Linked DNA regions of Diceros bicornis minor. The protein of the gene in region 3 purifies or fractionates together with the protein of the main gene of each other region. This does not show direct contact. Links are inferred from orthologs where the notes say so. Each region holds a gene or a part of one and is shown on either strand. Other genes may lie near its edges.

Evidence for each region.
Region 1: the proteins of PRDX1 (region 3) and TXN purify together in Homo sapiens (affinity purification with western blotting; 3 studies listed by BioGRID, with this or other methods). This does not show direct contact. The link is inferred for Diceros bicornis minor from reciprocal best matches to the Homo sapiens genes PRDX1 and TXN.
Region 2: the proteins of PRDX1 (region 3) and PRDX5 fractionate together in Homo sapiens (co-fractionation; 3 studies listed by BioGRID). This does not show direct contact. The link is inferred for Diceros bicornis minor from reciprocal best matches to the Homo sapiens genes PRDX1 and PRDX5.

Annotation. Positions count from the first base shown.
Region 1 is NC_080767.1:19,026,873-19,037,385, forward strand, and holds the start of TXN (thioredoxin), read right to left. Parts: upstream 3,973-10,513; 5' UTR 3,889-3,972; coding exon 3,865-3,888; intron 1-3,864. UniProt on the Homo sapiens protein: Participates in various redox reactions through the reversible oxidation of its active center dithiol to a disulfide and catalyzes dithiol-disulfide exchange reactions.
Region 2 is NC_080770.1:8,680,313-8,691,120, forward strand, and holds PRDX5 (peroxiredoxin-5, mitochondrial), read right to left. Parts: upstream 4,218-10,808; 5' UTR 4,193-4,217; coding exon 4,028-4,192; intron 2,698-4,027; coding exon 2,563-2,697; intron 2,064-2,562; coding exon 1,932-2,063; intron 1,859-1,931; coding exon 1,820-1,858; intron 1,676-1,819; coding exon 1,614-1,675; intron 1,513-1,613; coding exon 1,407-1,512; 3' UTR 1,272-1,406; downstream 1-1,271. Other genes in the region: TRMT112 (multifunctional methyltransferase subunit TRM112-like protein), read left to right, coding at 4,926-5,003, 5,093-5,194, 5,327-5,416, 5,509-5,616; ESRRA (steroid hormone receptor ERR1), read right to left, coding at 6,510-6,769, 7,426-7,695, 7,786-7,953, 8,374-8,502, 8,661-8,777. UniProt on the Homo sapiens protein: Thiol-specific peroxidase that catalyzes the reduction of hydrogen peroxide and organic hydroperoxides to water and alcohols, respectively.
Region 3 is NC_080752.1:8,458,717-8,469,353, forward strand, and holds the start of PRDX1 (peroxiredoxin-1), read right to left. Parts: upstream 4,010-10,637; 5' UTR 4,005-4,009; intron 3,838-4,004; exon of another isoform or gene 3,537-3,837; intron 1-3,536. Other genes in the region: AKR1A1 (aldo-keto reductase family 1 member A1), read left to right, coding at 8,829-8,912. UniProt on the Homo sapiens protein: Thiol-specific peroxidase that catalyzes the reduction of hydrogen peroxide and organic hydroperoxides to water and alcohols, respectively.

The DNA.
Region 1 (10,513 bases), on a different chromosome or scaffold from region 3:
TTAACAGGGGACTCATTTTTACCCACAATTAATCAGTCAGCACTGACCAAAACAGGAGCAACGAAGAGAAGTCAAAACAGAAACATCTGTATCTGAAGTCTAGGTTTCTTCAAGGGAAAAATACTAGTCACCTTGGCTTAATTAAAAACTAACATTCCCCTCCCTTGAAAGCTAAGAATCATATCAGATCTGGTGCAGTAAAGAAAGAAAGTAAACAAATAAAACACCATAAAAAAAAGTGAATCCAAAGTGAATCCCTCTGAAGTACAGTTACTTCCCTAGATTTCTAGTTTCTACCTCATGTTTTTTTGGGAAACAATTCACAAATAATGTTCCTGAGAATGCCAAGTCATGACTTCTGTAGGCTTTTCAGTTATGCAGGTACAAACTTCCACCCCACCTTTGGGTGTGGGGAGATGTGTATGGGTGGGCTTGGGGGTGGGAAGCCACAGAGAGGAAGTTAGAAGTACAGAACTTATTTTTTTTTTTTTTTTTTTTTTTTGTGAGGAGATCAGCCCTGAGCTAACATCCGCCAATCCTCCTCTTTTTTCGCTGAGGAAGACGGCCCTGGGCTAACATCGGTGCCTATCTTCCTCCACTTTATATGGGACGCCGCCACAGCATGGCTTACCAAGCAGTGCGTCGGTGCGCGCCCGGGATCCGAACCAGCGAACCCCGGGCCGCCGCAGCGGAGCGCGCGCACTTAACCGCTTGCGCCACCGGGCCGGCCCCCAGAACTTATTTTTTTACAAACCATCACCAATTTTTCCAGCTGAATTTCATTCAAAGCCTGCCCTAACATGATTTTGTAGAAGGTCAAACCAGCCATTCTTCACTGCAAGATCCACATAAGGCAGGAAACAAGTCAGGGAATGCCAACGTCTGGTCAGATGAACACATTTGTTTGTGAACATGGCTGGCCCTCAGTAAATTCTTGGTGGGATTACTTTCAACATACAATGTATTTCAAACACTCTCAAGGGTTTCCCAAAAATGATTCTGAATCAAATTCAAGCAAAACTACCTAAAACTCTGAAAAGAGGCATGCAACGATAACTTTTGGCTTAACTGATCAGGAGTTACAGAGCCAGGTATGTGCAGACTTCATAACAAATTCTCATCTCCTGATACTTAAAAGTTTGCCTAAAACAGACATCAGTTTAAAAATGATTCAAGACTATCGAAGATGCAAAGCACCATTTCTAGCTCCTGGAAACTAACAATGAGGATTAATCAAGGTACCCATTACTGACACAAATGTTCTGAAAACAAAACAATGGAGCTGAGCTGAGGTAGATAAGAGCAGAGTCTAGCATCTCTTTTCCTAAACATACCCATTCCAGAGATAATAAGCTTAAGAGTGGATGTGAAGCATTTAGCAAAATGCCTGTGTGTAGAAGATAGTTCAATAAATGGCAGCTACCATTCTTTAAAGAAAAGAAAACAAACTGTTGATTTCTTTCTCATCACATTTATAATCCATTATCCCACTCATGTCTGAAATAGAGCCTAGTGGCTCTAAACCAACACAGTGCCTCAGAGTTATCCTGGATGGCCCAGGGCACCAACGTAGTCCACTAGGATGAAAATCTAAGGTGCATTCAATATTCACAAGTAATGGTCAAATTAATTTAATTTTGATGACTCTGGATCACAATTTTGAAGATCAACTGATTATCAGGGTCCTTAGGCCCCAGGCTAGTGCTTTTTTGAGTAATGAATTTCCTGTCACCCTTGCACATCTTCCCGCTGATGAGAGGAGGAGAGTGCCATCTTTCCAACAACTAAAATAGGGAAGGACTGAAAGGCGTACTCCAGGAATCAATTTTTTGTTTGTAGTGTATGGAATGTGAAACAACTAATAGAAGCCACTCAAAGGCTGCCTCACTCCTTCAATGGGTTCTCACCTGCTGGGTTATACTGATGAGGTCGCCAGAGGCTGGAGAACACCCCCACCGCAGATTGTCACTTAGGAGGTACTGAATAAAATTATGTGGAACAAAACTCACTATCAAGGATCTCTCTTTTCAACAAATGAGAGGGTGCTAATTTTAATATAAAAGCTCACACAATTTAAAAAAGGAGGATCCCAATAGGAAAAAATTGATCAAGGAAAAGCAGACAACAGACTACCATTAGCCAATCAACATATGCGGGGGGAGGGGTTCAGAGTCACTAATAATCAAAGATATTCAGATTAGATTGGGACTATTTTTCTTACTAATGATTTGGCCGAAGTTACGGGGGAAAAGTCAGCGTTCATGGGGTGGAGGGCAAGGAGAACTCTCCTATGTTTCTTGGGGCACTGACAAGCTTTAAAAGGTTCACCATCACTGCACTCGAGACCCCAACCTGAGGAAACAGTCTGAACTCTGTCTGTACAAAGCGTTATGAACAAAAATATTCACTGAAGCATCGAAAACCGCCGAAACGTGCAGTAATGCGTTCAGATATTGAAATCATTACAAAAGCTTCTCGTTACATGGAAAGTGTTCAGGCTAAATTAGACAGGGATAAAAAGCTCAGAAACAAAACAGTATACGTAAAATAATCTCAATTACTTTGTGGTTGCTTCTAGGAAATAGACAATCTCCCTCTTCCCAAATTTTCTACCATGATCATACATGTTTTCTGATTATAAAAGTAACAAAAAGATAAGGGATCATCACAGAGAAACTTGTTTCCCAAAGCCCATCCCAGCAGCTAACAGGTGGGGGCACTCATGGCGGGGGAGGTCTCGCCTTCCCCCTGCTTTATCCTAGGGTCGGGGGTACCGCAGGGGTAATGCTTTGGAGAGGTCTTCCACTGTTCCAGCAACATCAATGCTCTCTCACTCACTTTCAAGACTCTGCATTTAACAAACATTTCTTGAATAGCTACAATATACCAGACACTATGTTAGGCTCTGAGTTTTCCGGGCAGGAGGGTATTAGGCTTGCAATGACTCTCCAGTAGGAGAACACTTTTTGCCTTGGGCATCCCTAAAAGGACAGAACCACCAACAGGGTACCCAGGGGCGACGAGCACGCAGGCGGGCACGGCTGCTCCCAGGGGAACTTAAGGCTTCAGAGAAATCCACCCACTGTGGGTGAATCACAAATGGGTAGGGCAGCGCAGTCCCCTGGGCCTAGCCTTGGGGACTGAGTCATTCCAAAGCCAGCGCCGCCGGAAACACGCCCTGCGCCGCAAGAGGAGGAGTCCCAAGGGCGCCGCTCGGACCTCACTTCCTTGCGGCCACCTGGGCCTCCGGGCCGGACTCCCACACGCGAGGAGGGTCTCCAGCCTGGAACCGCCCCCTTTGCGCGGATACAGCACGCGTCATCTCTGGGGACCGGCAGCCGGAGGTCTCCGGCCTAGATCCGCTCCCAAGGGAGCTCACCCACCCAGCGCGGGTGGATCACGCCGCTCACCGGCGAGAGAGTGGCGGCCAGCAACCCCGTGCTTTCTCCAAGGGTCCCTCCACCTGCTGGCCCGGGCCCGTATCCGGATATTTATGGGGCCAAGGGCGGACTCCCTCCATCCCCTCCCTCAATTACGGCTTCCCGGACCGGGAGGTGCAGGAGGCGCAGAGGGGGACACCTGGGCGCTCCCAGTGCGCGTGCATCCCCCGGGCGCAGTGGGCGCGGGCAGCGCTGGGCACCCCGACCTCGCCCTCCAGGGCGCCTTCGTCCCCCTCCGCCCTTCCTCCAGGGCATGCTCGACACCTCCGGCGCACCCAGGCCCGGGCTTCTCGCAGTCCCAGGCCGAGCCGCCGCGTCCCCTTCGCCCAGGGATGCGGAGCGGCGGCCTGCCCAGCTCCGGCCCCTCGCCTTCCCCAGCTACGGAGGCTGCGCGTCGCGCCCGGCCTTCCCCGGGAGCGCGTACCTTGCTCTCGATCTGCTTCACCATTTTGGCAGCTGGAGTCTGACGAGCGACCGCAACAAGCGATGGAAGCGGATCCAAAGCGTCGGACGCAGCTTGGAGCGAGCGCAGCCCTCCTTCCCTTTATGCAGTAGGGGCGGGACGGGCGGGCGCGCGCGGCGTGCGTGTGGCGGGGGCGCGCCCGCTCGGGCCTCCCGAGCCCGCCAAGTCGCCCGGCCAGGCCCCGCCTCCCGGAGCCGCCGGGTGGGAGCGGGATCAATGTCGGGGGGCGGGGCCGTCGCCGGCGCGGGGCGGAGCTCCGGGAAGCACCCTCCGCCCGAAACCGCCGGCAAGGCTGTCCCGTACCCGGACTGGGATTGGGGACCTGTGGGGGCCATCGAGCGACCAAAAGGGCGCGTGCAGAGTGCACGGCGCGGGGAGGCGGGGAGGCGACGGCCATACCCAGAGCCACAGGGTCACGTGGGAAGGGGTCAGCCAGGCCTTCATAGAACGCGCCCAGGATCGAGAAGGTGCCGCCAAAGCCGGCGCTTTCCTGGAAGAGGCCCGCCACGCCCCCGCCCCCCAGCCGCGCGCACCCCCCAAGGTGCTGAGTAAAGAAGACCGGGAATTGTCTCTGCGTGTGCAGCCTGCCTCCTTCTCGGAACTCCCGGCGGGGATTCTCTGCTGCTCTTGCCTCGTTCACGTTCTTTCACTTTCGCCGGTGAAGCCGCTGCTTCAGCGTGACACCGCAGTTTAGTGCCATAGGGACGGCCGGGCACCTGGCTGGGCTCCTGGCGAGCACACAGCTGCGTGCGGGATGTGAGTACGGCCAGAGTGGTGCAGTTGTGACCCCGAGCGGGTCCTGACTGCCCGGTGCCTCAGTTTTCGTTTCTGTAAAATGGGACCCATGATGGTCTCTAACTCATGGTGGTGTTTTGAGGATTAAATCAAGTGCTTGTAAAGTGACTAGGATACTGCTTGGCACATGGTGAGCGCTCAGTAAATAGTTATAACGGTAGCTATTGTGAGCACTGATAAGGCTTGCTTGGTGTCATGGGGGGCCGTGCTGAGCTTGGCGACCTTATCTTTCTGATGGCACCGGTACACACATTTGTTGAATTTTTTCTACCAGTAGTAGACCTGGAGCAGAGAAGTGGGCCGTTTGTGTTCTTATAGGGATGCGTGTGGCAGGTTGCGTCCGGCAGGACTGGGGCTCGTGGAAGTTATGTTAGCGGGCATTGTGAAGCCAGGAGGGCCTTTCAGCAGCTGGAAGGGGAGGTGGAGAAGCTTTTGGGCTGGAGAGAGGAATGAGAGCCGGAATGTTGGGGTGGGGGGTCTGAGTGTGAATTTTCAGAGTGGAGCAGCTCTGGACGAAGCTACATCCATGTGTGATTGGCTGGGATGTTGAAATTGCTCCCTGGCTTCCTCTCAGGGCCCCTAGCTTCTCCGTGCTCTCTCAAACAGAGGAAGGAAGAAAACCAGAGGTGTTGAACCTATTGTGCAAAGTTTCTGGAGGGATGAGGAGCACAGGGCCATGGGTAAGGATATGGACAAGGGACACATGCTAAGGACAATCCTAGACAGAGGAGGGTGGACTGGCCTGAATGCAGCAAGCTTCCCATAGACAATAAAGACTATTGGGGCAGAGGAGAGGCCTGTGCTCCTGGAGTCCCAGGAGCAGAATGTATAACTTGCTTTGCTGCTGCTGTGTCTTCAGCCCAACTTACATCCCAGCTTCTAGGCCTATCTATCAGTTGGTACATTTATATGGGACATGACCTTAAATGATTCAGCTGTAGGAAGAGGAGGTATAGATCTCCAATGCCCATCCAAACCACCCTCAGCTGACATCTCTCCAAGGACCTTACAAATGTCCAGTGACTCGGTTGGAGGAGGTCCTGACTCCCACCTTCAGAGGACCAATATAAAGTAGATATGGGGGATGCTACAATTAGAGGGCACTGGGAGGCTGGCGTGTGTGTTAAGATCCCAGACCCTGTGATTAGATTCCCTGTCCTCATCCCCATTCTACCACTCTGTGGCTGGGTAACTCTAGACAAGTCTAAATAGCCTTTCTGTGCCTCAGTTTCCTCATCTATGAAATGGGGATAATATGCTATTATAAGGGTTGAGTGAGCTAAGATATGTGTAAAGTGCTAAGAATCTTGCCTGATATGCAGTAAGTGCTGTATAAAGTATGGTTACAGGCTATTAAATGGAATGGTGAGATCCCTCTGGAATGAGGGCAGAGGTAGAAGAGGCTGTAAAACAGATGTGCAAGTCCTAAGTGAATTAAGTAACCAGGAAATTAGTAAAGATTAGTGAGCTCAATAACACGAGTCTCAAAGGAAAAGGATTTTTTCCCTATCTAAGTGTGAAAGAAAAGTGGGCTAGACCTGGCCCTACCTAAAGAGGAACATCCCCTGCCTACAGGGATATAAACTTGCGTCCTTAGGATTTCAGTTGTGGCAAGGAGGTGATGTTCTGTGAGGAAAGTGAGGTGGAGGGGAATTGTTTGGGACAGCCCAGTCAGGGGGGATCCATTGGTGCAGAGAGCTAGGGGTGAGAGGAGGAGAGAAAGGGTGATGTAAAGGCCTTCATTTGGGGGTCAGTTCTGTGTATTAGTCAGAACTCGCAGTTGTAAGGAAGATTCCAGCTCAAACTGACTTAAACCAAAAAGAGAATTAGTAACTCATATTATCAGGAACCCCAGGGGCCTACAGATGTCACAGATCTCTATGGTTTCATTCTCAGGAGGTTCTCCACCTTATGTAAGACTAGCCCAGGCAGCGCCAGGCTTCTGTTCCTACCAGTTCAGTATCCCTGAAGGAAGGCCAATCTTCTCCCCGGTCCTAGTAAATGTCCCATAGGCTGACCTTCATTGACTTGAGTTGGGGGGAGGCGTCAGCCTTGCTTGAACCATTTTGACCAGGAGTGAGGAAAATCCAGAGGGTCACCAGAGAAAGGGGACATGGATGCTGGATAGGCAAAAGTGATGTTTCCATGTTGTCAAGAAGAACAGAAATGAGTAGTGTGGGTGAGGAACTCACTTCAGATTTCTGGGTCAGCTCAGTCTGAGGCCCCATGGGGGACTGGAAAACTAGGTTTGCTGTCTTTGTTCACATCTGAATTTGAAGAAAATGCAGCTCTAGGGCTTCTGAGGCAAAGTTTGCTCAGATCACAGATTCCTCTAAGTGTGGCCCTTGATCACCTCATTCAGCACAGCTAGGGGTGCTGATGATACTGCAGACTCCTGGACCACACACAGACAGGCACATGGAAGCACAGCCTTTGGAGGTAGATCCCTGGAATCTGCATTTTAAAGAAGCATCCCAGGTGATTTGGTGTAGAAGATTTGATAGACTGCCCTGGGATCTTCAGAGGGAGGCCAGCTTGAAGGCTGTGTCTAGCAAGAGAGTTGAGATGAGGACACAAAAGAGAAAATGGTAACGGATATAAAATGGGGAGTTCAAAATAATATAGTAAAGAAGGTGGTCGAAGGAAAAGGAACAAATACACATGCATAGAACAATCATTAAGTGCCAGGCCTGGAGGTAGGTGTAGCTTCATTTTTCTCAGCATCCCCTCGGAGACAGATATTATTCTTCCCATTTTACAGAGAAGAAAATCAAGGTTCAAAGAGGTCACCTGGTCACACCAAATGCACACCAATTCTTATACTCTGTTCAAGAAGGAGAGGACTTGCCAGCACTGTTTTAAGCCAGCCCAACATGTATCTTGAATACCCCTCTTTTAACCAGTGAAAAATATCTAACATTCCTTACACTAATTTACAAACTGTAACTATAAGGATATTCGAATAGTTGGCAGAAACATCCTCTGGTACATCAATTCCTATTTGGAGATTTTTCAAATACTAATTTTTTTTTTTAATTTTTTGTTTATTGCAGTAACATTGGTTTATAACATTGTAAAAATTTCAGGTGTACATCATTGTACTTCTATTTCTGCATAGATTACATCATGTTCACCACCAAAATACTAATTACAACCCACCACCACACACATGTACCGAATTATCCCTTTCACCCTCCTCCCTCCCCCCTTCCCCTCTGGTAACCACCAATCCAATCTCTGTCCCTATGTGTTTGTTTATTGTTGTTATTATCTACTACTTAATGAAGGAAATCATACGGTATTTGACCTTCTCCCTCTGACTTATTTCACTTTGCATTATACCCTCAATGTCCATCCATGTTGTCACAAATGGCTGGATTTCATCGTTTCTTATGGCTGAGTAGTATTCCATTGTGTATATATACCACAGCTTCTTTATCCATTCGTCCCTTGATGGGCACTTAGGTTGCTTCCAAGTCTTGGCTATTGTGAATAACGCTGCAATGAACACAGAGGTGCATGTACCTTTGCAAATTGGTGTTTTCAAGTTCTTTGGATAAATACCCAAGAGTGGAATAGCTGGATCATATGGTAGTTCTATCCTTGATTTTTTGAGGAATCTCCATACTGTTTTCCATAGTGGCTGCACCAGTTTGCACTCCCACCAGCAGTGTATGAGAGTTCCCTTCTCTCCACATCCTCTCCAACGCATGTTGTTTCCTGTCTTGTTTATTATAGCCATTCTGACGGGCGTCAGGTGATATCTCATTGTAGTTTTGATTTGCATCAAATACTAATTTAAACACCCCAAGAGTGGACTCCTGATTAGGGTACTTCAAATGTTAACTATTTAGATTTTAAAAATGAATATACATATAAATATATGTCACACTTTCAATGCTCAGTATTTTAATGTAAATTTCAAACAGTATAACCATCCCTGTGAATAACCTACCCTGCATACTGCTGCTCTTTACATCCCCTGGTCTGGTGCAATCATCCTTGTCCCTGCCCTCTCAAACTCTCCCTGTGCACCCTCCAGGAACCAGCTGCATTCAGCAAGTACCACTATATTCTTAACCTCTTCTCAGATGTTTCTTTTGCATTAACTGAAATTTCTGCTCTTCTCAAGTAGAGGCCCCATATATGTCAGGGCCAGGAGGTCAGGCAAATGCTCCCCATTGCTGCTTCCAGACTCTTTCTCCTCCTTCAAAAATCCCATGGGTATCTCTGTAAAAAAAAAAAAAAAAAAAAGAAAGAAACTTGATCCTTACTTCACACCATACAAGAAAATTACTCAAAATTTACTATACAACTTCTAAAAGAAGATGTTAGAGATAATCTTTGCAACCTTGGGGTGGGCAAACATTTCTTAGGCAGGACACGGAAATCACTAACATAAAAGAAAAAGCTAGTAAGTTTGACTTCATTAAAATTAAAAATCTCTGCTCTTTGAAAAACATTGTTTAAAAAAAATGAAAGGGCAAGTCACAGACTGGGAGAAAATATGTTCAATACATATACATAACAAAGGACTTATATCCAGAATATATAAAGAACTCTCACAACTCAATAATAAGACAAACAACTGGTAAAAATAACACAAACAACTGGTAAAAACGCAATAGATTTGAACACACACTTCCCAAAAGAAGATACATGAGTGACTTATAAGCACGTGAACAGACAGATTCTCAGCATCATTTGTCATCAGGGAAATTGAAATTAAGACCACAATGAGATACCACTTTGCACCCACTATACTGGTAAAATGTAAAAGCCTGATAATACCAAATGTTGGTGAGATTGTGAATTAGCTGAAAAGAACTTCCATACCCTGCCCCTAAGAGTGTAAAATTGTACAACCGCTTTGGAAAACAGTTTGGTGGGTTTTTTTTAACTATTTTTTTTTTTTAAGGAAGTTAAACATACATTTACCGTATGACTCAGTAATTCCACTTCTAGGTGTTTAGACAAAAGAAATTAAAACATGTATCCACACAAAGACTTGCGTAAGAGTGTTCATAGCAGCTGTATTCATAATAGCCCCAAACTAAACCCAAATGTTCATCAACGGGTGAAATATTACTATAGTCATGTGTTGTCTAACAATGGGGTTATGTTCTGGGAAATGCATCGTTAGGCAATTTCTTTGCTGTGCGAACATCATAAGAGTGTACGTGCACAAACCTAGATGGTATAGCCTACTACACACCTAGGCTATTTGATATTAATCTTATGGGATCATCATCATATATGAGGTCTGTTGACCGAAACGTCATTTGGTGCATGAACTTTTTACTACCACTGCTGATAAAAGTGATATTTCTGAACAACAGGATACTTCTCAGCAACAAAAAGAACAAACTGCTTATATACACGGTAACATGGGTGAATATCAAAAACACTATGCTGAGTAGAAGAAACCAGAACAAAACACTACATACTGTATGAATCCATTCATATGAAGTTCTAGAACAGGTAAAACTAATATATAGGGACAGAAAGCAAATCAGTGGTTTCCTGATGCTGGGGTGGGGGGATGGCAGAGAAGCATAGGGAAAGTTTTTGGTGGTTACATAGATCTATACATTTTTCACAATTCTTGGAATGATGCACTAAAAATGGGTACATTTTATTTATTATGGGTGTAAACTATACCCCCAATAAAGTTGATTTAAGCAATAAAGATGTCGTCTCTGAATAATCCTTTCTAGACACAAAAGCCATCCTCAAGACATTAAAATACATTTACAAGGCAACAAAGATGGGATAAATAGGAACATTTAGGCAGTGCTTTAATTCAGGCCACATA
Region 2 (10,808 bases), on a different chromosome or scaffold from region 3:
TATAAAGCTGACCTGTCACTGCCCTGCAGAAATCCTTCAGTGGCCCAAGGTGGCCGCAGGTGAAAGTCTTCAAAGGCCCCCTGTCCTCCCAGCATCCCCTCTCTCTCTCTCAGCTGCTCTATGTGCTGCAGCTACTGGAGGCTGTTCCACCCTCCATCCCTACGGCCATGCTGTTCCCTCCGCCAGGAGCACCATTCCCACTGCCTCAAGGGTCGTGTCCTCCAAGAGACCTCTCGCTGAGGGCAGTCTGCCCTGGCCGGCTCTGGGGGCTGAGCCCCCGCAGATGGCCAGGCGGAGCAGGAGGGCCCCTAGGAGCTGGTGGTGACGGGGCAGCAGGGCACAGTGAGTAAAGCTCACACCCACGCCAGCCCCGGGCCGGCTGCCTGGCTCAAATCCCAACTCCTCTTATGCGGCTGAATGAGCCGGGCCTGTTGACTTAACCTCTGTGATATAACAGGCTGTAACAGTTCACACCCCACGGGATCATTGAGGATTTTTACCATACCTGAAGCGTCTGTCCCCCGTAGGCTGGGAGCTCTAAACACAGCAGGGGCCTAATAATTTGCAGTCTGCTCTGCCAAGCACTTGGCTTCCCAGGGACAAAAGGCAGAAGCCCAGGGGCAGGGCCAGCACACGGCAACGGCCCCAGCCCCAAAGCCTGCCCGCCTCCCTGACCCCCGGCTCCTCACTCTACACCCACCACCGGGCAGGCCTCACAGGTGTCTTCTCCTCTCATACTCCTCTCCCAGGAAGCCCTCCTGGACTGAACCAGCACTGCTCCACATGGATCCCTTTCTGCCAGATGGTCCCAAGGTGCCAGGGGCCCTTCCTGGGATGTGGGTGCTCCCGGGAGACGTTCAGTGGAGTCTGAAAGAATGGTGGGGCTGGGGCTCGGCCCAGGTCCGGAGGCTGCCTGGAACCAAAGTTGCTACCCCGGGGTTATGGTCTAAATGAGCTCAGCCAGCACCCAGAGATCAAGCGCAAAAGGTCACAGGTGCGAGCCAAGCTCGTGTCTGCCCAGGAAATTTCTAGACATGCTTCCTCTGCACGGACTGCTCCTTCCCTTTCTTTTCAGACCACTGACCCTTTCTCAGTTTGCAGATTGGTGTGTCACAACACGTCCCCCGAAGGCCTTCCCTGACTGCCTCCTTAATTACCTCAGGGTCTCCTATTAGTCCCCGCCTCAGCCCCTGCCCACTCCTCTCCCGGCTGTGACTGTCACGAGACCTGGCCCTCAGCGAAAGAGCAATTCAAAATCAAGGAGACAGACATGAACCACAAGTGTTTACTGCAGAAATCTGGCCAAGGCTCCAACTGGGCGGCCCCAGGAGGGTGGGCTGGGCTCTGCCCAGGGCTGGACAGGCGGAATAGGAAAGCGCAGAAGGAGCACGTCTGGGCTCTGGACCTCAGAGCTGCGAGATGATGTTGGGGGCCAGGCTGCAGGTGAGGCCTGTGCCATCCGGCTCCACGTTCAGGGACTTCACCGTGCCATCCTCTATGACCATGGAGAACCTGCCAGAAAGACGGGCGACCAGTTGCAACAGCCTGGGCCTGGAGGCTGGGAATGGAGACGGGGGCGGGGGGAACCCCATGGAGGACCCTCCCACTTTTACCTCTTGAGCCGTCGATTCCCAAAGAGGGACACCAATGAATCATCTAGTAACAAATCTGTCTCCTAGGAGGGGAGGCCAAGAAAAGGATCAGGAAGCCCAGAACAGGCCAAGCCCCCCAGCTGCTCCCCACATTGGCCACGTCCCTCCAAGTCCCTGCTTCCAAGGCCGGGCACAGGGACTGCCCTGGGGGCGGGGGGGGCACTCACCTTCCCAAAGGCCCCAGTGGGGTCAGCCAGAAGCCGAACCTAAGGAGAAAGTAAAGGTCAAGAGAAAAATCTCCCGCCTGGCCCCTGATCCCCTGCAGGACCCGCACCTCACCTTGCCTTTCGCATTGTGAGCTCGTCCCCACTCTTCAGTCACAAAGACATCATTAACACACAGACATGCCACAACCTGGACCCCTTTGGCCTTCAGAGCCCCAGCCTGCTCCACAAACCCTGGCAGGTGGGTCTGGGGAGAGGAAACAAAGGGTCAGCAAAGGGATAACTGCCTCTGCTCCTTGGGCTACCCTTTATCTCCAGGCCTTCCCTATCTCCCTGCTTCAACACCTTTGATCAGACTATGAGAACTGTGTAAGCCACAGTTCCTTTTTGCCTTGGCCACTAGGAAGCTCGGATCCAAATTTAAGTGGTCAAGACCATGAACTTCCCGTGGCCATAACTATGTCTTATTTACCCGAGTTCCAAGTACCCTCCATAGTGCCTGTCAGCCAGCAAAGTCAATAAGAAGTGTTGAATTTCATTGCAATACCCTTTTCCCCTATATTTCTGGTACTGCTACCTTTTCGCAACCTCCACTTATTTTCTAAATGCTCTGACCAGCTTTTTAGCTGTCATATCATCTACATACTCTCGTTGCCAACTGCCTCAGGACTCCGTGGAAGACTTATGAACAATACGAACATGTACACAAGGTCCCAGTTGCTAAGCCCAGAAGGGCGGGGCCTCACCTTGGAACAGCCAGGGGTAAAGGCCCCGGGGACTCCAAACAGCACCCCCTTCTTGCCCTTGAACAGCTCTGCCAGGTTCACCTTGTTCCCAGGCTCCCCTTCAAACACCACCACCGACGGGATGGCGTCTCCCACCTAGAGGGAATGGCTCCGAGGTCAGGGGTCGAGGTGTGGGCTGGGCAGGGAGGCCAAGGGAAGGGCAGCACCAGAGCCAGGGGACCAGAGGGGCTGGCAGCTGTGCCTGGTGGAGCACAGTTGACAGCCAGCAGGAAAGTTCAACCCTGTCAGAGTTTCCAGAGGTCCCTCCCTGTCGCCCTCCCTTCTCCCGCCACCGCCTGGTTACCCCACATCCCCCAGGTTTCAAGGCGGCCCTATTCTTCTTAAAGGGCCCACTGATGACAAGAGAAAAAGGGAGAGAAGGCCTCCCTGGGTGTCGCAAGGGGTTGAGTAAACAAGCTGAGTTACAGGAAAAGAGTAGGATAAAGGAACAAGGGGCGGAGGGGCAGGGGGGCTATATTTGATGGTGAGGACAAGGCCCTGACAAGGAGGGAGCGGACCCTGGCCAGGTCTGAGTGTCTCACCCTCAAGACAAAAAAAAGGGAGGGCAGCACAAAGCGGGAAAGTCGGGGGGTGGGGGCGCCGGTCCCTACATCCAGGGGGTATGGAATAAAAGAAGGAATCTCTTGAAGGGTGAGGGGTCGGTCTACCTGGGAGTGTGTGAGGGCTTCCTGGGCCCGGAGGAGGTAGACAAAAGGGACAAAAGTCAGGGGTAGGGGGGAGCGTCTCTGAGAAACTCTGTGGTAGGAGTAGGATGAAGCAGGAGGAGGCGGGGGTCTCAGAAGACTGTGGGAGGGGAAGGGGTTTGTTCCAAGGAGCTGGGGATGGTTCCAGAAGATAAGAAGGGGTGAAAGACTCAGCAAAAGGGTGGGAATTAGCTATGGGTGGAGTGGACTGGGGGAGATACAAGGGGACTCTAAGAGACAACACCTGTTCCAGAAGATAGGGGAGAGTGATGCCCAATAACTTGACAAAAGCGTAGGACAGGGTCGGGGGAGATGTATGGGGGTTGAAAAGGGACCCGGGGGCAGAGGACATGGTTCCAGAAGGTGGGGGAGGCCACGATACTCAATTGTCTGAAAATGGTGCAGACCCATCACAGGGGTCGCAGAGCCGATGTGGAAGGGAGATGAGAGGAAGGCTCGAGAGCCTCGGGTACTGGCCCAGCAAATGGGACACGAGACTCCCAAAACTGGCATGAACGGGGTGGGGGTGGGGCCGCCCGGGCCGCCACGGGGTCTTGCTGAGGGGATGAGGGGGACAGACAGCGTGAAGGGCCACTAGGGAGGAGGGAAGGATTCCGGAGGGCAGGAAAGAGGGTGACTCTCCCCCAGACAAGCGGGACGGAGGGTGGCCTTGGGTGGATGGCGAGGGGCTGGGGGTCAGGCCTGGCCGGGCCAGCGGTCACCTTGATCGGGGCCATGGCTGCAGAGGCGCTTCTGAAACCGCGGGTCCCACCAAGCGTCCACTCTCGGCCTCCTTCCAGGCACCGGCCTGTTCGCACCGCTGCCGCAGCCTGGGCGAATACTGAGTCCGCTCGGCGTCCCAGGATGCATAGACCCACCTGCAGCATGCCTGCCACCGACGCCACAACCGCCCCGCCCCGTCTCGCTGCGCCAAGCCCCGCCCCCGTCGGGGCCGCGGCCGGAGGCGGGGCCCGGCGTCACCAGCGACTCTCCAAAGGCGGGGCCTCGGCCGCCCCGCCCCCGGCGAGGCCCCTCCACTGCGCAGGCGTGCGTGCAGGGGCGGAGCTTCCGGGGCGCTTGGCTTATTTGCATTAGGGGCTGGACCACTGATGCACGGACAAAGGGGCGGGGCTTCCGGCAGCCGAGCAGATTATTTGCATACAAGGTTCGGGTGCCTGTTGGACCGGCCCGATTTACGGATTGGGGCGGTGTTTCCGTTTTTTAACCGACAGCGAGGGGCGGGAGATGACGGCGTCAGGCGCTGGTGTAGGAGTAAATAAAACATGTTTATTTTGCATTCGACGGAGGCCCCATTGCAGTTGTTTCACATATAATTTGCACTGTACATGATTTGTAACCACTGGAGGTTTTTGGCTCAGTCACAACCACTGGGCCTGCGCCATAGACACCTGCCGCCGAGACGGTTCCGGCAGCAGCGCGTGATCCGACCAGGCCTTTCAAATACCTCGGCTCCGGCGAGCCCCAGAAGTTCCAGCAAGTTCCCGCTTCCGCTTCTCTCAGCTATCCAATAGGATACAGAGGGGAGCGGCTCCGGAAGTGACGCAGGCGGACTCCTGGCCTCCTTCCGCTTCCGGCCTGGCCAGAGCGCTCGGTGGCGACATGAAGCTGCTCACCCACAACCTGCTGAGCTCGCACGTGCGGGGGGTGGGGCCCCGCGGCTTCCCTCTGCGCCTCCAGGTACGGGCCGGGCGGTCTCTCGCCCCCGTCCCGGGCGGGATAAGAGAGCCAGGGTCCGGCCCGCCTCACTAAGCCCCTCCGCCCCGCAGGCCACCGAGGTCCGCATCAACCCCGTGGAGTTCAACCCCGACTTCGTGGCGCGGATGATCCCCAAGGTGGAGTGGGCGGCGCTCCTGGAGGCGGCGGACACCGTGAGGACCCTCCCCCGCCCGTGCACGCCCTGGGGGGTGGTCTTGCCGCAGCCCCTTGCACCAGGCAGGGAAGCCTGGTCTTGGGGCGAGGGTCGGCGATGCCCAGGGACGAGTTAGGTGTCTTGCCCACAGTTGCATCTGGTCGAGGTGCCCAAAGGGCCGATTGAGGGGTATGAACGTGATGAGGATTTTCTGAGGAAGATGCACCACGTGCTGCTGGAGGTGAGAACCGGCCCATCGCTTGCTTGCCTCCCTGGCCACACCCCCACGCACGGAGCCTGCCAGTGCTCAGCCCTGTCCCCCCTTCCCCGCAGGTGGATGTGTTGGAGGGCACCCTGCAATGCCCGGAGTCTGGACGTCTGTTCCCCATCAGCCGCGGTATCCCCAACATGCTGTTGAGTGATGAAGAAACCGAGACTTAATCGTGCTGGGCACCAGTTTTTCACTGTGTCCATGTGTACATTGGTTTATGTATATCCTGTTTGCTAGTTCTGTTTTGTGTATCCCCAACCCTTGACCCAGTGACACGCCAGACACGCAGTGTTCTTGAGCTCGATATATTTTTTTTCTCATTAAAGGTTCAAAACCAAAAGCGGTTTCTCTTTGCAGCAAATATACATTAAAATAGAGTCTCTGTACAGCCGAGGGCTCTGGGCCCTGGCTTGCCCCATGTCCCTGCACCTCCCTGGCCAAACCCAAAAATAAATATAGTGTTATTGCTCTGCAGGGCGTAGAGGCAGTGCTCTCCCTGCCCCCTGAGGAGGCTGGGTGGGAGCTGATGGGGGGCCCTGGCCAGCCCAGGGGTCCAGGGGCTGGAGCCTGCTTGGAGTTATTGCTTCAAGGGGGGGCAGTAATGCCCAATGCAAATGATGAGGAGAGGAGCGAAGGGGGCAGGGGCTTTTGCTTTCCAAATCCCCCTCTGCTCTGGAGAGGGGGTCGGGTTAAGCAGCAGCAAAAGCATCACCCACTGGGAGACTGTGGCCTCCACTCCCTTCCCTCCCAGATCAGGCTTCTGCCTCCCACTCATCCCCTGCAGCCCCCTATGGCTTCCGCAAGGCCCCCTACAGTCTGGGGGCACGTTATGGCTTGCAAGGGGCAGCACTGTGCCCAGAGCCTGGGCACACACGTTCCCAGCTTCTAACACCCCCTAGGAGGGGGGAGGGGAGGGCGTAGGGCCCACTCCCAGGGGCTGATGGTATTGCCCTGGCCCTGCCAGCAGGCTGTGGCACTGCCCAGACTCCAGCTCTGCCCCCTTGGGGCTGACCCTCTGCTGGGCGGGTCCTGCCAGCACCCCCACCCGTGCCCACCCCGTGCCTCAGTCCATCATGGCCTCAAGCATCTCCAAGAACAGCTTGTGCATGGGCACCTTGCCCTCCAGCTTCACCCCATAGAAATGGGCCAGCACTTTGCCCGCTGTCTGGCGAAGGAGCGGCAGTGTAAGCAGCAGCCTGCCTGCCCGCCGCCGCTCAGCGCCCCCTCCGGGGCCCGCCCGGCCGGCTTCATACTCTAGCAGGGCCTCGTGCAGAGCTTCTCGCAGCTGCTCCACAGCCTCGGCATCTTCAATGTGCACAGAGTCTGCGAAGAGAGAGGAGAGAGAGCTGTTGACCCGGGCCACCTCCAGAAAGGGCAGAGCCCCCATCTGCTTAGACAACACTGCATGGGGCCTAAGGAAGAACCAGACACAGGGCTGGCCCCCATAGTGTAGTGGTTAAGTTCACACACTCTGCTTCAGTGGCCTGGGGTTCGTAGGTTCAGATCCCAGGCACAGACCTACACGCCGCTCATAGAGCCATGCTGTGGTGGTATCCCACATATAAACTGAAGGAAGGTGGGCACAGATGTTAGCTCAAGGCCAATCTTCCTCGGCAAAAAAAAAAAAAAAAAAAAACAAGAAGAAGAACCAGACACCGATTTGTTCACTGGGTGACTGAAGCACCACTCACTGCTCCTGCTCATGAGCCAGGGTCCACCTTTTCTCTCTCAACTACAGCCACCTCTTGTCTTGCCCACCTTCCCTCCCATTAAATTGTTCACCTTTCCACTAAGTATGGCACTAGGGCTCAAAATCCCAGGTGCAGTTCCTGGGCCTGCCCTTGGCTTGCTTTGTGACTTTCAGCAAGTCACTATTCCTCCCTAAGCCTCAGTTTTTCTTGCCTGCAAAATGGGACTGTGCCACCATCACAGAGTTAAAAACCAGAGGGCCCTGTGGAGGGAGCTCACTGCAGACTCACCTGAATTGGCAAGGGCCAGGGCCTTCAGCAGGACGTACTCCTCACGCTCCAGCCGCAGGGCCTGCAGTCGCCGCACCAGTTGCAGCAGGGCGGCCCCCAGCTCCCCCAGGCCAGCTGCTCGCGCCCCCTCTTCATCCAGGACCAGGTCCTCAGCAAAGGCCAGCTCGTCCTGCAGTGGCAGTGAGCGCTGGGCCACGCCCAGCACCAGGACCTCCATCCATACACTCTGCAGGACTGACATCTGGTCGGAGAGCGACAGTGACGAGAAGCCTGGAGGGCAGTGGGGAGGAGACCCGGCTGAGCAAGGGCGCCAGAGCCAGGCACCCAGGGAAGCCCCACATCACCTGGGCCAGCCCTTACCTGGGATGCTCTTGGCCCAGCTGATGGTGACCACGATCTCTCGGTCAAAGAGGTCACAGAGGGTAGCCACAGCCGGGAGCTGTCCGTCGGGGCCCGCCGGGTCGGGCATGGCATACAGCTTCTCGGGCTCAACCACCAGCAGGTGGGACACCAGTGCGTTCACCGGGGCTACAGGCACAGTTGGAAGAAGCACTCGAACTCATCACCTTGCAGGCCCTTCGGAGTCAAGCATCTTCCCAGAGCCGGGCCCCCTGTGGCCTTCCTCAGTGGCCACTGGCCAGCCAACTCAGACCCCTCTCTCCGGGAAGGGTTCGCACTGTCTCCCGGGGAGAGCCGGTCTGTGTGTGCACGGGTTCTGAGCGTTAGAAAACCCTGCCCTGTTCCCAGTTGTACGACTTGGGGGCCTGACACAGAAAAAGGTATTTTCATAAATACTTCTTGGGATAAGTGACTACGTGAATAGATGCAGGGAAAATTTAGGTCCCAGTGCCCAAGATAATTATTCTCCTGGGTGAATGATGCCAGATAGGCCTCTGGGTCCTAGCCCCCCGACAACCCTGGAGCTCCAGGGACCCACGACGCTCTCACCTGTCTTCCGAGGGCCTCCAGCTACCGCCAGGGGTCCAGCAGGGAAGGGGCCTGGGAAGGGCAGTGGGTCCACCTCCGGCCGCCGCTTGTACTTCTGTCGCCCACCCCGGACACGGTCCAGACGTACCCCTTGAATTGTAAGAGAGGACTGTGTCCATGGGGCTGGGGGTGGCCTGCTCTGCAGAGACCCCCGCCCAGTCCATTCCACCAGGACTTCCCAGGCCTTGCCCCCCGGCCCCATGCATCCAGCTCCCCCAGCCCTCGCCCAGGCCCTGCCCAGTGCTCACCCTCCTTGAGCATGCCCACCCGCAGGCACTTGGTGAAGCGACAGGCCTGGCAGGCCTTGCGTCTCCGCTTGGTGATCTCGCACTCGTTGGAGGCCGGACAGCTGTACTCGATGCTCCCTGCCAGGAAGAGGCAGGGCTCCAGTGGCGGCCTCCCAGGGCCCGGAGGGGGCCCAGCGGACAGGAGAGCCCTGACTCGCCCCGGGCAAGCACGGGTCTGGGGAGAGCAGGAGTGCTGTGAGTGGCACAGGGAAGCCCGGTGCAGTGAGGGGCATGGCCGCTGGGCTGGGGGCCTCTACCCGGGCAAGGGAGGCACTGGGACCGGGGGAGTGAGGCTGCGTCGCTGCCCCAAGCCTCTTGTCAAGCCGTGTCTCTGGGCTCTACTGCCCTCATCTGCTCTCAGCAAGGGCCACAGTGGCCTCTACATCCAATAGCCAATTCTCGTCCTCATCTGACTTGGCCTAAAGGAGCATCTAATGCCATTGATCACGTCCGACTCCTAGAAACACTTAAAACACTTTTCTTCCTAACGTCTAGGACCCACTCCTGATTTTCCTCCCCGCTCATTGGCCACTTTGTGGTTCTGCGCACCTCCCCACGCTCTTTCCACTGAAGAATCCTGCGCTGCCCTCGGACCTTGTCTCCACTGACTCACTCTCGGGTGAGTTACCACTCACAGCCCGGGTGATGTGACCCAGCCGCAGGCTTTCAAATTTGTATCTCGAGCCTAGACCTGCCTGAGCTCTAGACTCATCCCACTGTCTGCTCGACATCTTGCAGCTCTAGAAGGCGTCGCAAACTTAACATGTCCTGATAGAGCCCTTGATCTGCCCCTCCAGACCTGCAACTCCATTTATCCAGGTGCTCAAGCAGAAATCTAGGAGACATCTTGGATTCCTCTCACACCCAAAATCCAACCCATCAAAAAGTCCTAGAGAGTCCAGAAGCCAACCCCTTCAGCCCCTGGCAACTGCTTCCACCCGTGACCCAAGTCACTGTCACCTCACCCCCGGCTCTGTCCTTGCCTCCTTCAGTTACTCTCAACACAGCAGCCAGAGGCATCCTATTAAACCTAAGTCAGACCCTGTCCCTCCTCTGCTCAAAACCCTCCAATGATTTCCCCTCTCAGAGGAAAAGCCCAGGGGAACTCCGTGGCCGCTGAGGCCTACACCCCTGCTCTCACCCCCTCTCCGATCTCATCCCCTGTTGCACTCTGCTCCGGCTCCCCACTGGCCTCCTCGCTGTGTCCCAAAACAGGGGACACTGCTCCCTTACCTCCTTCAAATCTCTGGCCCTTGTCACCGTCCCTGGCCACCCGCTGAGAACGCCAGATGCCCCTCCGCGGACACCTCCGGGCCGCTTGCCCCTGCTTCATAGTTTCTCATCAGCTCTTAGCACCATCTAATGTGCTACTTATGTACTTATTTATCTTCTGTATTATCCGTCTCCCCACTTTAGTGTCAGCTCCACGAGGGCCAGCACTGTCCCCAGCACCACACAGGGCCTGGCACATAGTGGGCGCTCATAAAACTGGTTGAAGGAGCGCATGGCGGCCCTCCCAGCCTCACAGGGCTACACAAGGACTGAAGGACACAACCAGCCAACATGCCCTTAGCACGTTTCCCTCAATTTCTCCTACACCCTACCCGGGCTTCCGTGCTCAGCTCAAAATACCTCCTCAGGGAAGCCCTCCAGCACCCCAGACCCAGCCAGGTTCCTTGTCACACACACCCTGCTCCTCGCCTTCCAGCACTTACCACAGCTGCACTATAACAATCTTGCGCAATCTCTCGTTTTCTTTCTCCCCTCTCTGTTAGAATGTAAATTGCTTGAGGACAGGAGCGGTCCTGCCTTAGTCCCAACTACGTCCCCAGGCCTGGAACAGTGGCCAGGACAGCCAAGCACAAGTTAGGGAAGAGCAAGGCCCTGGAGGCTGCCTGGCGCCCATCCTGACCCTCCCACTTACCAACTGTGTGACCTTGGGCAAGTCCCCTACCTATGCCCTCGAACCCTCAGTTTTCCCATCTGTAAAACTGGGATGATAAAAACAGTAGTTCTTTTCTTACAAAGGCGGGTTGTGAGCATTTAAGGGGATAATCAAGGTAACACGTTTGGCGTGGTTCACAGGACCTCAATAAATGCTCCCTATTT
Region 3 (10,637 bases):
TGTTTGTATAGATAGACATGTGGGAGATCAAAATTGGCCACCTCAAAATATCTCTTTACCTTGATTATTTTCTCTGAAGGACATTTGACCTTCCCCTCCCAAACTGCCTAACAAATTTAACATAGAAGGGCTTTTCCAGGAAGAAACCACTACCATATGATAGCTGAAGTATAATGTAAAATAGATGTGATAAGAAAGGCACCAAAAAGCCCATCTTATCAAAAATTCTGTCTCTCCAGCCACATTCTCTATAATTGGCCCTGTAAAGAGTTGTCTGACAAACATTTGCATTTCCATCTCCACGTGAGTTTTCTTCTTCCCCTCTGAAATCCCAAACCACTACCCCCACACCCTCCTTATCTTGAGCTGAAAAATACTTAAGAGAGCAACTTAGTCAGAATGATGAATTGCTCAGTTTGTATTTTCTGAGTTTCTCCCATGTATACATGTTATAAAGCTTTGTCTGATTTTCTCCTGCTATTTGGTCTCATGTCAATTTAATTTGTAGCCCAGCCAGAAAGGACCCAGAGTGGATAGAGGATAGTCTTCTTCCCCTTCAGTTACAAGCACTAAGATAACTTGCTCACATAAATAAGTGGATGAAAATAGAAGTCTTATTAAAGCAATGTCACTTAATTGTTTTAACTCTTTTCAAGTTATATGACAAAAATCACAAAATCTATCATCCAAAATTATTTTTAATGGTCTACCAGCCTTCACCAATAGCTTTCAAAACAAAGAATTGGAAACGACTTGCATAAGCATTTATGACCCAACAATTAGAGTCATCAGTATTTCCAAGAGTCCTTTGTGTGTGGGGGGGTGTGTGGGTGTGAGGAAGATCAGCTCTGAGCCAACATCTGTTGCCAATCCTCCTCTTTTTGCTGAGGAAGATTGGCCCTGGACTAACATCTGTGCCCATCTTCCTCTACTTTATATGGGATGTCGTCACAGCATGGCTTGACAAGCGGTGCGCGGTGCGTGCCAGGAACCTGGGAACTCCCGGGCCACAGCAGCAGAGCGTGCACTTAACCGCTACCCACCAGGCCGGCCCCAAGGAGTGGTGTGTTCTCAAGCCGATCTGTTTTCGAAAACAATACACCATCAATCTGATGACTATTGCTCTGAAAACTCTCGGAGGGCAACACTCTTGGAGGGCCAGCGTTGTGCCTTGCTTGTAACGATCCTTGTGGCCACAATTAAGAGCAAAATCCCCAGGGCTGGGGAAGGAGGGAGCTGGTTATAATGACTCAGCAGTTCGTCAGATGGCAAGGTCACCACTTGATTATTGCCCTTCAGACTTTTAAGAAGTCAGACTCACTAGAAAAAAAAAATTGAGGGCTGGCCCATGGCTTAGTGGTTAAGTGCGCGTGCTCCGCTACTGGTGGCCCGGGTTCGGATCCCGGGCGTGCACTGACGCACTGCTTCTCCGGCCATGCTGAGGCCGCGTCCCACATACAGCAACTAGAAGGATGTGCAACTATGACATACAACTATCTACTGGGGCTTTGGGGGGAAAAAAAAAAGGAGGAGGATTGGCAATAGATGTTAGCTCAGAGCCGGTGTTCCTCAGGAAAAAGAGGAGGATTAGCATGGATGTTAGCTCAGGGTTGATCTTCCTCACAAAAAAAAAAAGAAAGAAAGAAAAAAAAATTGAGGCAGTCCATCAGATCCTGCAGAAGATAGTGGGAGGGATGGGATACATAGGATGTGTCTATTGATGGTTAACCTTTGCTGGGCTGAGTTTGAAGGATCCTAAATTCTGATCACATAAGCCAAATTTGAATGTCATTATGAGGATATCTGGTGTGAAACGTTGGGCACTTGGTCCCTCAGGACACCATTTGTATTGGGGAGACAGTGGTGAGGAATTGGGGGGGGGAGGGTAAAAAAAGAGAAGAGCAGCGCCTGGGGCGACGGGGGAAGACCAAGGTGTGGGGAGAGAAAGGCAGGGCTACACCGGGACAAACCTGCTTCTTTCCAACTCCTGCCAAGGAAAACACAAATTCAAGACATCTCTCAGCCGAAACGGCAAGGGCTATTTCAAATCTCAAATCTCTAACTTAATACCTGTCTGACTTTGGACAAGCTAATTTACCTGCTGAGTCTGCCCAATCTGTAAAATGGAATGTGAATACCATTCCTAACTTCCTCACAGGAGGCTTCCAGTGTACTGGTAACGTCTATCTTTGTTTAGATGGTAGCTACATTGCAAAAAAAAACCTCACAGAGCGTTACGTTTAAGATTTGTGCATTTTTTTGTATGTATGCTATACTTCCATATAAAGGCTTACAAGAAATAAAATTGAAAAGAACATCCTCCTTCCAGGGTTGCTGTGAAGATTCAATAAAATCATGTTTATAGCCTGGTACAGTGCTTGGCACATAAAGCCGTGGCCAGGGTCCACCGACCAGATAGAGAGACGAGGAACTTTCTATGTCCTGGAGTCCGGAGACCCCAGGTCTTCCTTGTTATGGTCAGCCTTTGTGTTGTGGCTGCTCTCTAGGCCTCAGTTTGCCAGACCAAATAAGATTAGATAAAATCTGGGCAGCTGGCCAACCCGACTCTAATGGAGAGAATGGGGATGTGGGAGATCAAGATTTGGTCACCCTGAAATATATCTCTTTACCTTGATTGTTTTCTCTGAGGGACATTTGACCTCCCCCACTAACTGCCTAAAGAATTTGACATAGTAACTCCTTCCTGGAACAGATCTTCTATCTGATGGCTGTAATATAATGTAAAATAGATGTTACAATAGGAAAGTCACCAACAAGCCCATCTTATCAAAAATTCTGTCTCTCTGGCCACATTCTCTAGATGGCCCTGCAAGGAGTTGCCAGACAAACATTTACATTTATAAGGGAAATCTCCATTTGTAAAGGTATCTCTCTCTCTGTATTGGGAAGGGGGGGGATGGCCTCATTTCTAGAAACTTATCAATGTGGAACGTGAGGCCTTAAAACTGCATAATAACCTTACTCTTATTTACTTGCTTCAGTGGTAATCTCCTAGGAACTGACTCCCCCTACCCTCAACATCCTCCTTTGTTCTTAGCTAAAGATGGTATTTAACAAGAGAATTTCTGCTATTGTGTTGAGAAACTCAGTGTCCCCGGTTTCTCCCATGTATACATGTTATTAAACTTGGTATTATTTTCTCCTACTAACCTATCTTATTAATTATTTGGCCAGCCATAAGAACCTAAAGGGAAAGGGCAGAGGGGGATTCTCTCTCTTCCCCCACAGAGGGAAACCCCGGGCAGTCAGCGCTGCAGGACAAGACACCAGAAGAACGCCAAACGTGGCACTCAGGAAGCCTCCTCCCTGCGGCAGGGGAATGAGCTCCAACGGCCTAGAGCGGCGTGGCCACCACGCGCGGTGCACTGTGGGCCAGCAGAGGCTCAGCCTGGCCCCGCCCCCAGGGCCCCCTCCGTGGTCAGAGGCGCATGCTTCCTGTGCAGGCGCATTCTCCAAACTTGGGGGTTTCGTTTGTCCGTGCTGGTCCCAGTGGGACCACCAGCACCCAGGGGCGGGGATGGTACAGCCTCGCGAGTCTGGCGTGCTCACCACTTCCACCCCAACCCCCGAGCTCTTTTCCGGGGGTAAGAGGCGGGGTCCACCACGGCCAGTTCGGCTGAACGCCCGGCCTCCGTCCCTCCTCTGGGAGGAGCAGCCTCTTCACCGCCAGACTTAAGCCTGATCCCTGCCTCCACTTTCCGGTGACTTTCGTTGCAGCCCACCATTCCCGGAAGCTGAGGCCCATTGGATCCTTAGCAGGGCGCCGAGCTGAGCCGAGTTCACACTCTCCTGTTCACGCTCTGGGCTCGTGCCGAGGTGAGTTCCTCCTGCTGCTGCCCCATCTTTCTCTCCCTAGATAGAGCGGAGAGCGTAGCCTCTGGAGGCGGCCAGACTTGGTTTCGGGTTTGAACTTTTCTTCTTCGCTGTGTGATCTTGGATGAGTTCCCAGTTTCTCTGGACTTCAGTTTCCTCAGCAGTGAAACGAGTTCCTACATCAGAACTGTAGCGAGAATTAAGTGAGATAAAGTTTTTAAAGCTCCCGACACATTTAAGGTGCTCAGTAAGTTTTAGTTCCCATCTTTTTTGTTTGCTCAACGGCATAGTTTTTCCAGGAGCTCTGTCCTTCCTATGGAATTGGAGAGGTGGCTTCTCAGAAGTGGCGGGAGCGGGTAGAATTCTCTTACTTAGGCAGTTGCCTTGGGTTTGGCATGTTTATCTGTTGCCCCAGAGAATGTTTTTCTGTTGCCACTTTTTTAAGTGAGACGAATTTGAACCTTCATCGACTCTGAACCTTCACCGGTTGGGGCTGCTATTAATTAACTTCTCCCTTCAGCTTGTCCACACTCAGGGCTGTAGGACCTCCCTTAGAAGAAGGTTGGTGGCTCTGCTCCGGCATGTTACTTTTCCCAAGGTCTAAGTTTTGTCATCTGAAATACAGGAGCAATCCTAGCATAATCCTGTCTGGAGCCACTGGTATTTTTTGTGGCTAAAGTGCTTTGATATTTTGCAGAGATGATTCTTTCCAGGTTACCCAAGAAGTAAAGGAGGCTGGCGATGGAGGCAGTGACTTCCTCAAATACCCCTCCAGCTGGCCAAAGTCCAACTGTCAAGATCACCCCCATTTGCCTCTCTTTGTGGGTGTTTAGTGTATGTGTATGTATGTATGGAGCATGCACTCTGGGAGTGAGGAGTTCAGACAGATGATGGGCCCTGACCTCAAGGAGTACCTAGGTTTGTGGGAGAAACATAACACACAAATACAGTGATGTATATGGGAGGAGTCAGAAATTTAAAGTGCCAGCTGAAGGATTAGCAGCAGTCAGCCGAGCAAAAGGTGAGACTTGGGGAAGGAAAGTGTGCAGAGGCCTGGAGTCAAATGAGTGGTGGCTTGTTCTGCAAAGTCTGGAACATGGAGTCTGGAGTCTGGAAATGAGGAGGTGGAGAAATGAGGAAGGTGGGGAGCCAGATTATGAAGAGTATTACTAAAGAGTCTGGACTTTATCCTCAAGGTAGGAGAGAACTGCTGGAAGAGTTTGAGCCTGAGAGTCACATGGTTGCATTTGGTGAATGGATTGTGGGAAGAGGGGAGACACTGGAAGCAGAGCGATCCCTGGTTCAGGTCAGGGTGGTCAGAGCTAACATAGTGCCAGTGGAGGGAAGTATGGATGGACTGGAGAAAGATTTAGGAAGTATATATTTTTAAATTATTTTCACATACATTAAGAAGTACACAAAGTGTTATTTCAGTCTTAGGTTTTACATTACAGTTTAGAGCAAACACTGTCTTTTTTTATATTTACAAGTATTAACAGGATTTTTAACTCACCCAAACAGACCAAATCTGAGCCACCATTGCCCATGTTGGTTTCTTAGAATTACAGGAGAAGATGTACTCCCCTCCCCATCACCTGTCAAGACTAGAATCTGATAATACTCAGAAAGGCCAGAAATGAACTGAAATACTTTATTTAGATGGCTTTTTTTAAGACCCCATGGATTATGCTGTGAACATGTTGTCTGGTTTGCTTTAACACATTGTCCAGGGTCTTGAGTCTGTGGTGAGACAGAGTATACAGAAAGAAAGCGGGGATCAGGCACTGTGTAAAGTGCTTTAGATATAGTATCTCTTAAGAATGCAGGGGCTGAGATTCAAACCCAGGTCTATGCAACCCTGTAGTTTGAACTGTTTCCTCTGCACTCTGCTGCTGGATTTGACAAGTACAGTTTTGGACACATTGAGTCTCAGATGCCTATAGGACATACACTGGAGATGTCCAAAGGGAGCCGAATAGACCGAACTGGTGGGAAGAATCAGTGCCTAAGGTGGTAACTGAAGACATGAGCTCAACTAGGGAGTGAGAAGAGGATTGGGGACAGAACCCTGAGGGACACCGACATTGATGGGAGGCAGAGGAAAGGCCCATGCAGCCAGGGGACACTCATGTAAATACTGCTTCCACTTTTTCCTGTGTTTTCGAGTTCCCTGTGTCCAGGCAGGAACTATAGAGCCCTCCTCTGAGAAGAGAAGACTGAGCCCCAGCGAGAAGGAAGGCAGGCACTGAGTTGGAATCATAAAACCTGAGTCCTGATACTACCCCCTACCCCACCACATACACTCAGTTTCTCTGTTTTATATCTAGAATCTCTCCCAAGATAACATGCGGGTTTCTGAGTGCTGCCAGAGGTCCAGCTCTGCAGCTCCTGACAGACTCAGAGCCTGTTAATGCAGGGCTAGGCTGGAAAGCCGTTGAGTCAGGCAGAAGATGAGGAAGTCAAGAGCTGTCATAGGATGACTTCCTGTCCTCAAGACAAACATCTGTCTTGTGCTGCACCCTCTCCGTTCCCTCCTTTGGAACTCTTGTTCTTTGCAGATCTTTCTTAGGTGTTCCTACCTCTTGATCCCTGCCCTGCCCTCCAAGCCTCATTTTGGTTTTCAGTTTCACCAGCAAAAGAAAAGGAGAAGCAGACATCAGGTTTCTTCTTCCTTTTCCCCTCAGGCTGGTGTTTGTTCAAGCTCTCAGCCCAGGTGTAATTTCAGAGCCCTCCCATGTGTGCTGGGAAATCGGGGAGAGACCAATAGGTCACTTGTTTGGGGATCAAGTCCAGGAAACTAGTCACAGACCCTGGTGGCAGCTGGCAGGCTAGTTCCTCCTGTGAAGTCCAGACATGCTTGCCTGACCCCTAAGAAGTTTGATAACAAAGAGTATTGCCCTCAGCCATCTGTGGTTTGCTGCCCAGATTGAACATTTTTGTTTCTGTTTTAACAGAAAAGAGCATGTTTACCATAACCAGGTTATACTAGACTCTAAAATTCTTCCTGAGTCAAAAGTATGAGGAAAGACAATTTTAGTGTATTGGTTGTATTCATCACTTGTCTTATCACCTGCTCTACCGTAATAATCTTGATGTCCTTTCAGAACTTGGAAACAAAGGTTATATTTATAAAGGCACTGTTGACAATGAAGTTAATCCAGGGAGAGTGATATTTATAGTACTGATGAGTTCACGGGAAAAGGTTGTTTCTACATTATTGGCTCTTGGTGTGGTGAGTGTTCTTTCTGCTTTTTGGTTGGATGACTCCTGTTTCTTAAGACTTGACTTAACTCAGACTTGACTTGACTCAGATATCACCTCCAAGAAGCCATCCTAGCCAGATTCCCCTTTTCTTGCAGCACTTGTGCAGATTTTGGTCATCTCTCTCATACATTGTGCTGGACATCCTCTGTCCTCCGCCCACCAGAACATGAACTCCAGGGGAGCCGAGACTCTACTTGAATATGTGTGTCTCTTGGGTCAGGCACAAGGCCTGGAACATTCATCATTTGCTGACTGAATGAGTATTCTTGCGCCATTTGGAGACTTCTGATTTTCCTAGCTCTCCAAAGGTGGTTGTTCCAATCACTCACATGCTTTGCTCAGTTGGAAATTTTCTTCTATCTGTAATTTACTGCTTTCTGCTGCACTGATGTCCTGTGTCTAGTTCCCCTTCCCCTTGACTCTTGGGAGAGTCCAGTTGTTAAAAGCCAATGTCAATATTCCATGGTCCTTGCGCTACAGAAATCACTTGGTTTTCTGTAGCACATTTTACATGTGTTTACTGTGAGGCATTGCACATGTATTTTATAGGTCTGTGTTTACCTGCCTTTTTCTTGCCTTTTTCCATTAGCTCCTCCTTGGGTCCTTGGCTCTGCTACTTCTTATTTGTTTTTCTTTTTTGATGAGGAAATCAGCCCTGAGCTAACATCTGATGCCAGTCCTCCTCTTTTTTTGCTGAGGAATATTGGCCCTGGACTAGCATCCGTGCCCATCTGCCTCTATTTTATATGGAATGCTGCATGACAAGCCGTGCGTGTGCACACCTGGGATCCTAACCTGCGAACCCCGGGCTGCCGAAATGGAGTGCACACACTTAACTGCTGCGCCACCGGGCCGGCCCCATTTTTTTGTGTGTGAGGAAGATTAGCCCTGAGCTAACATCCGATGCCAATCCTCCTCTTTTTGCTGAGGAAGACTCGCCCTGGGCTAACATCCCTGCCCATTTTCTTCTACTTTATGTGGGATGCCGCCACAGCATGGCTTGACAAGTGGTGCCTCGGTGCGGGCCCGGGATCTGAACCCGCGAACCCCGGGCCGCCAAAGCGGACTGCACGCACTTAACTGCCACGCCACCAGGCTGGCCCCAAGCTCTGCCACTTCTTAGATGTTGATTGGGGTGAGTAACTTCACCTGTCTGAGCCTGTTTTTTATCTAAAAAATGCTGTACTTTCCTTATAAGAGCCCACTCGGGCCTGTCAGCATGGCCGATCTCTGTGAGAGGGACTCACAGAATCTTTGTAGTTCTGACAACCTCCTGGGAATGTTCATTTCATCCTCAGAGGAGTGACCTTTTCCTGAGCCTCTTCTGTCATCTGGTCTCGCTTTGTCTCATAATGACCTTTGCCTGTCTTACACTGGCTTGAGACATTATGTAATCAAGGCTGGGTCCTTCTGGAGAGACACTCTGCCTTTGTTTTTAGGTGTTGGAGCTCTTTAATACAGACCTTTAGCCTGGTAGAAGGAAGGGCAGCCAGGCTGGTGGTCCAGTTAGGGTTTGTCCAGGAGCTACTGGCTTTGGTACGTTCTGGGCACCGTGTCTCAGTTGCCTCTGCTCATAGGCACATGCACACAACAGCATGTTTGTTCTCCTGTCACCTCTGTGTCCCTTTCCCGCCCATGTTTTACAGGAGTCTTGACCGGTGGGTAGCTGAGGCCCAGCCAGCAGCACTGACCTCCGCACCATTCTCTCCCTGTCTGTGTTTCAGGGGGCAATGGCAGCTTCCTGTGTTCTCCTGCACACTGGGCAGAAGATGCCCCTGATTGGACTGGGCACCTGGAAGAGTGAGCCTGGGCAGGTGAGGGATGAGGGAAGAGGAGGAGGGCTTCTTGCACCTCTGCCAGGGAAAAGGCAGTATTTGGGAGAGGGTCCCTACATTTTTCCTAGCAGCCCCACCCCCATACTCCAGGTAGCAATGAGCCTGGAGGTCAGTTGGAAGAAACAAGAAGGGACCAGCAGTGAGCCCTTGGCTTCCCCAGCTGACTCAGAGGAGTGCCTGAGGGGCCCAGCAGGGCCAAGGGCATACAAAGGAACCCTTTCCCTGACTGGATCTGCACTGAGTGCTGTGGCAGACATGGGACCCCTCTGTGCCTGGCCCTGTGCCGACCCCTCATATGGCACTTACCACCCTGTGCTGTGATCATGTCTCCCACACTGGGTGCCTTGGAGGGCTGGGCCTTTCCCTAGCGCTCAGTCCAGAGTAGGCACGCAGCAGGTGTCAGGGTTTGAAGAATAACTAGGTCAACTGTTAGCAAACTTTTCCTTAAAGAACCTGATGGTTAATAGTTTAGATTTTGCTGGACAAGTTGCAAAATGAAGAGGATTATGTACTTATGTAACCACTTAAAAATGTAAAAATTGTTCTTAGCTCAAGGGCTGAAAAAACAAAAGGCAGCTGCTAGCTGGAGTTTAATGACCCCTGGTATAGACCCTTGCAGCTTAGGGGAGCCTGGGAATGGATACTGTTTTCCTAGGGTTGACACTGCTGGAGGTTCAGCTCCCACCTGGAGTGGGACATCTCCTCAGGGCTTCTTCCTTGTTCCTTGGAAATCTGAGTCTAAGTTTAGAGAAGTTTGGGGATTAAGTTTGGGAGGGACTCCGGCAGGGAGAAGAGCCTCTTCTGTCTGGGATTTAGATTGGTCTTTGTGGTGTGGTTGGATGGCCTCTGCCTTTTTTCCCTTTGCTTTCCTCCCTACAGCTGCCTAGGACCCTGGAGGCAGGGTCTTTGTGCTCCAGGCAGGCACTGACATGACCCAGGACAAGTCCAGGAGCTAGATGAAGGCAGTGGATGGAGGCCAGAGCCAGGGCCAAGACGGGGGGCATGGAGCAGCAGAGGTAGGGGCAGGGGTGAGGAGAGTATGTCTGGATGGTAAGAGCCTCACCTAGATGGGGCTCTAGAATGGCAAGGGCCTAATACCCTTGGTTCTGCTTCTGACGCCATGTTTCTAGTCTGGATTTTAGCAAATTGACTGACGTGTCGTACTTGGTGCCTGCTTTCTTCTCTCGTGACAGAGGGCTCTGGGCCCAGCTTCCATCTCACTTCTCTGCCTTCCTTAGTTTTCTCCCCCTCTCATCTCTTCTGCTCCCTTGAGCTCCCCGAGCTCCCTTGGTCTACTTGGCTCCCTGAGAGTCCCTCTGTGTGGCTTGGCCTAGGAATTACTTACCTGTGTATCATGTTTACCAGCTTCTCAGGGCTGGGGACCTGTCTCCATGACCTATACTTCTGTCCTCTGTCAATGTATCCATCCGTCTTCTGAGTATCTAGCTGAGAACACAGTGTTAGTGTTTTGCTGGGCCCTGCTGACATTGCTTGGGTAGCAAGGAACCCTGGAGGTTAGTAGGGTGAGAACTAAGGATTTGGGGTCTCTGAAGAGGCTTCTGGTCCCCTAGACTAGAACTGTCTTCCGTCTTCTCACCCCACTGCATGGATGACTGCAGTGGTATATTCCTACCACCTCCCCCCATCAGTGACCCTCAGGAGGGCAGTTTCTGGCCCAGAGCAACAGAACTGAAACCTCTGCTT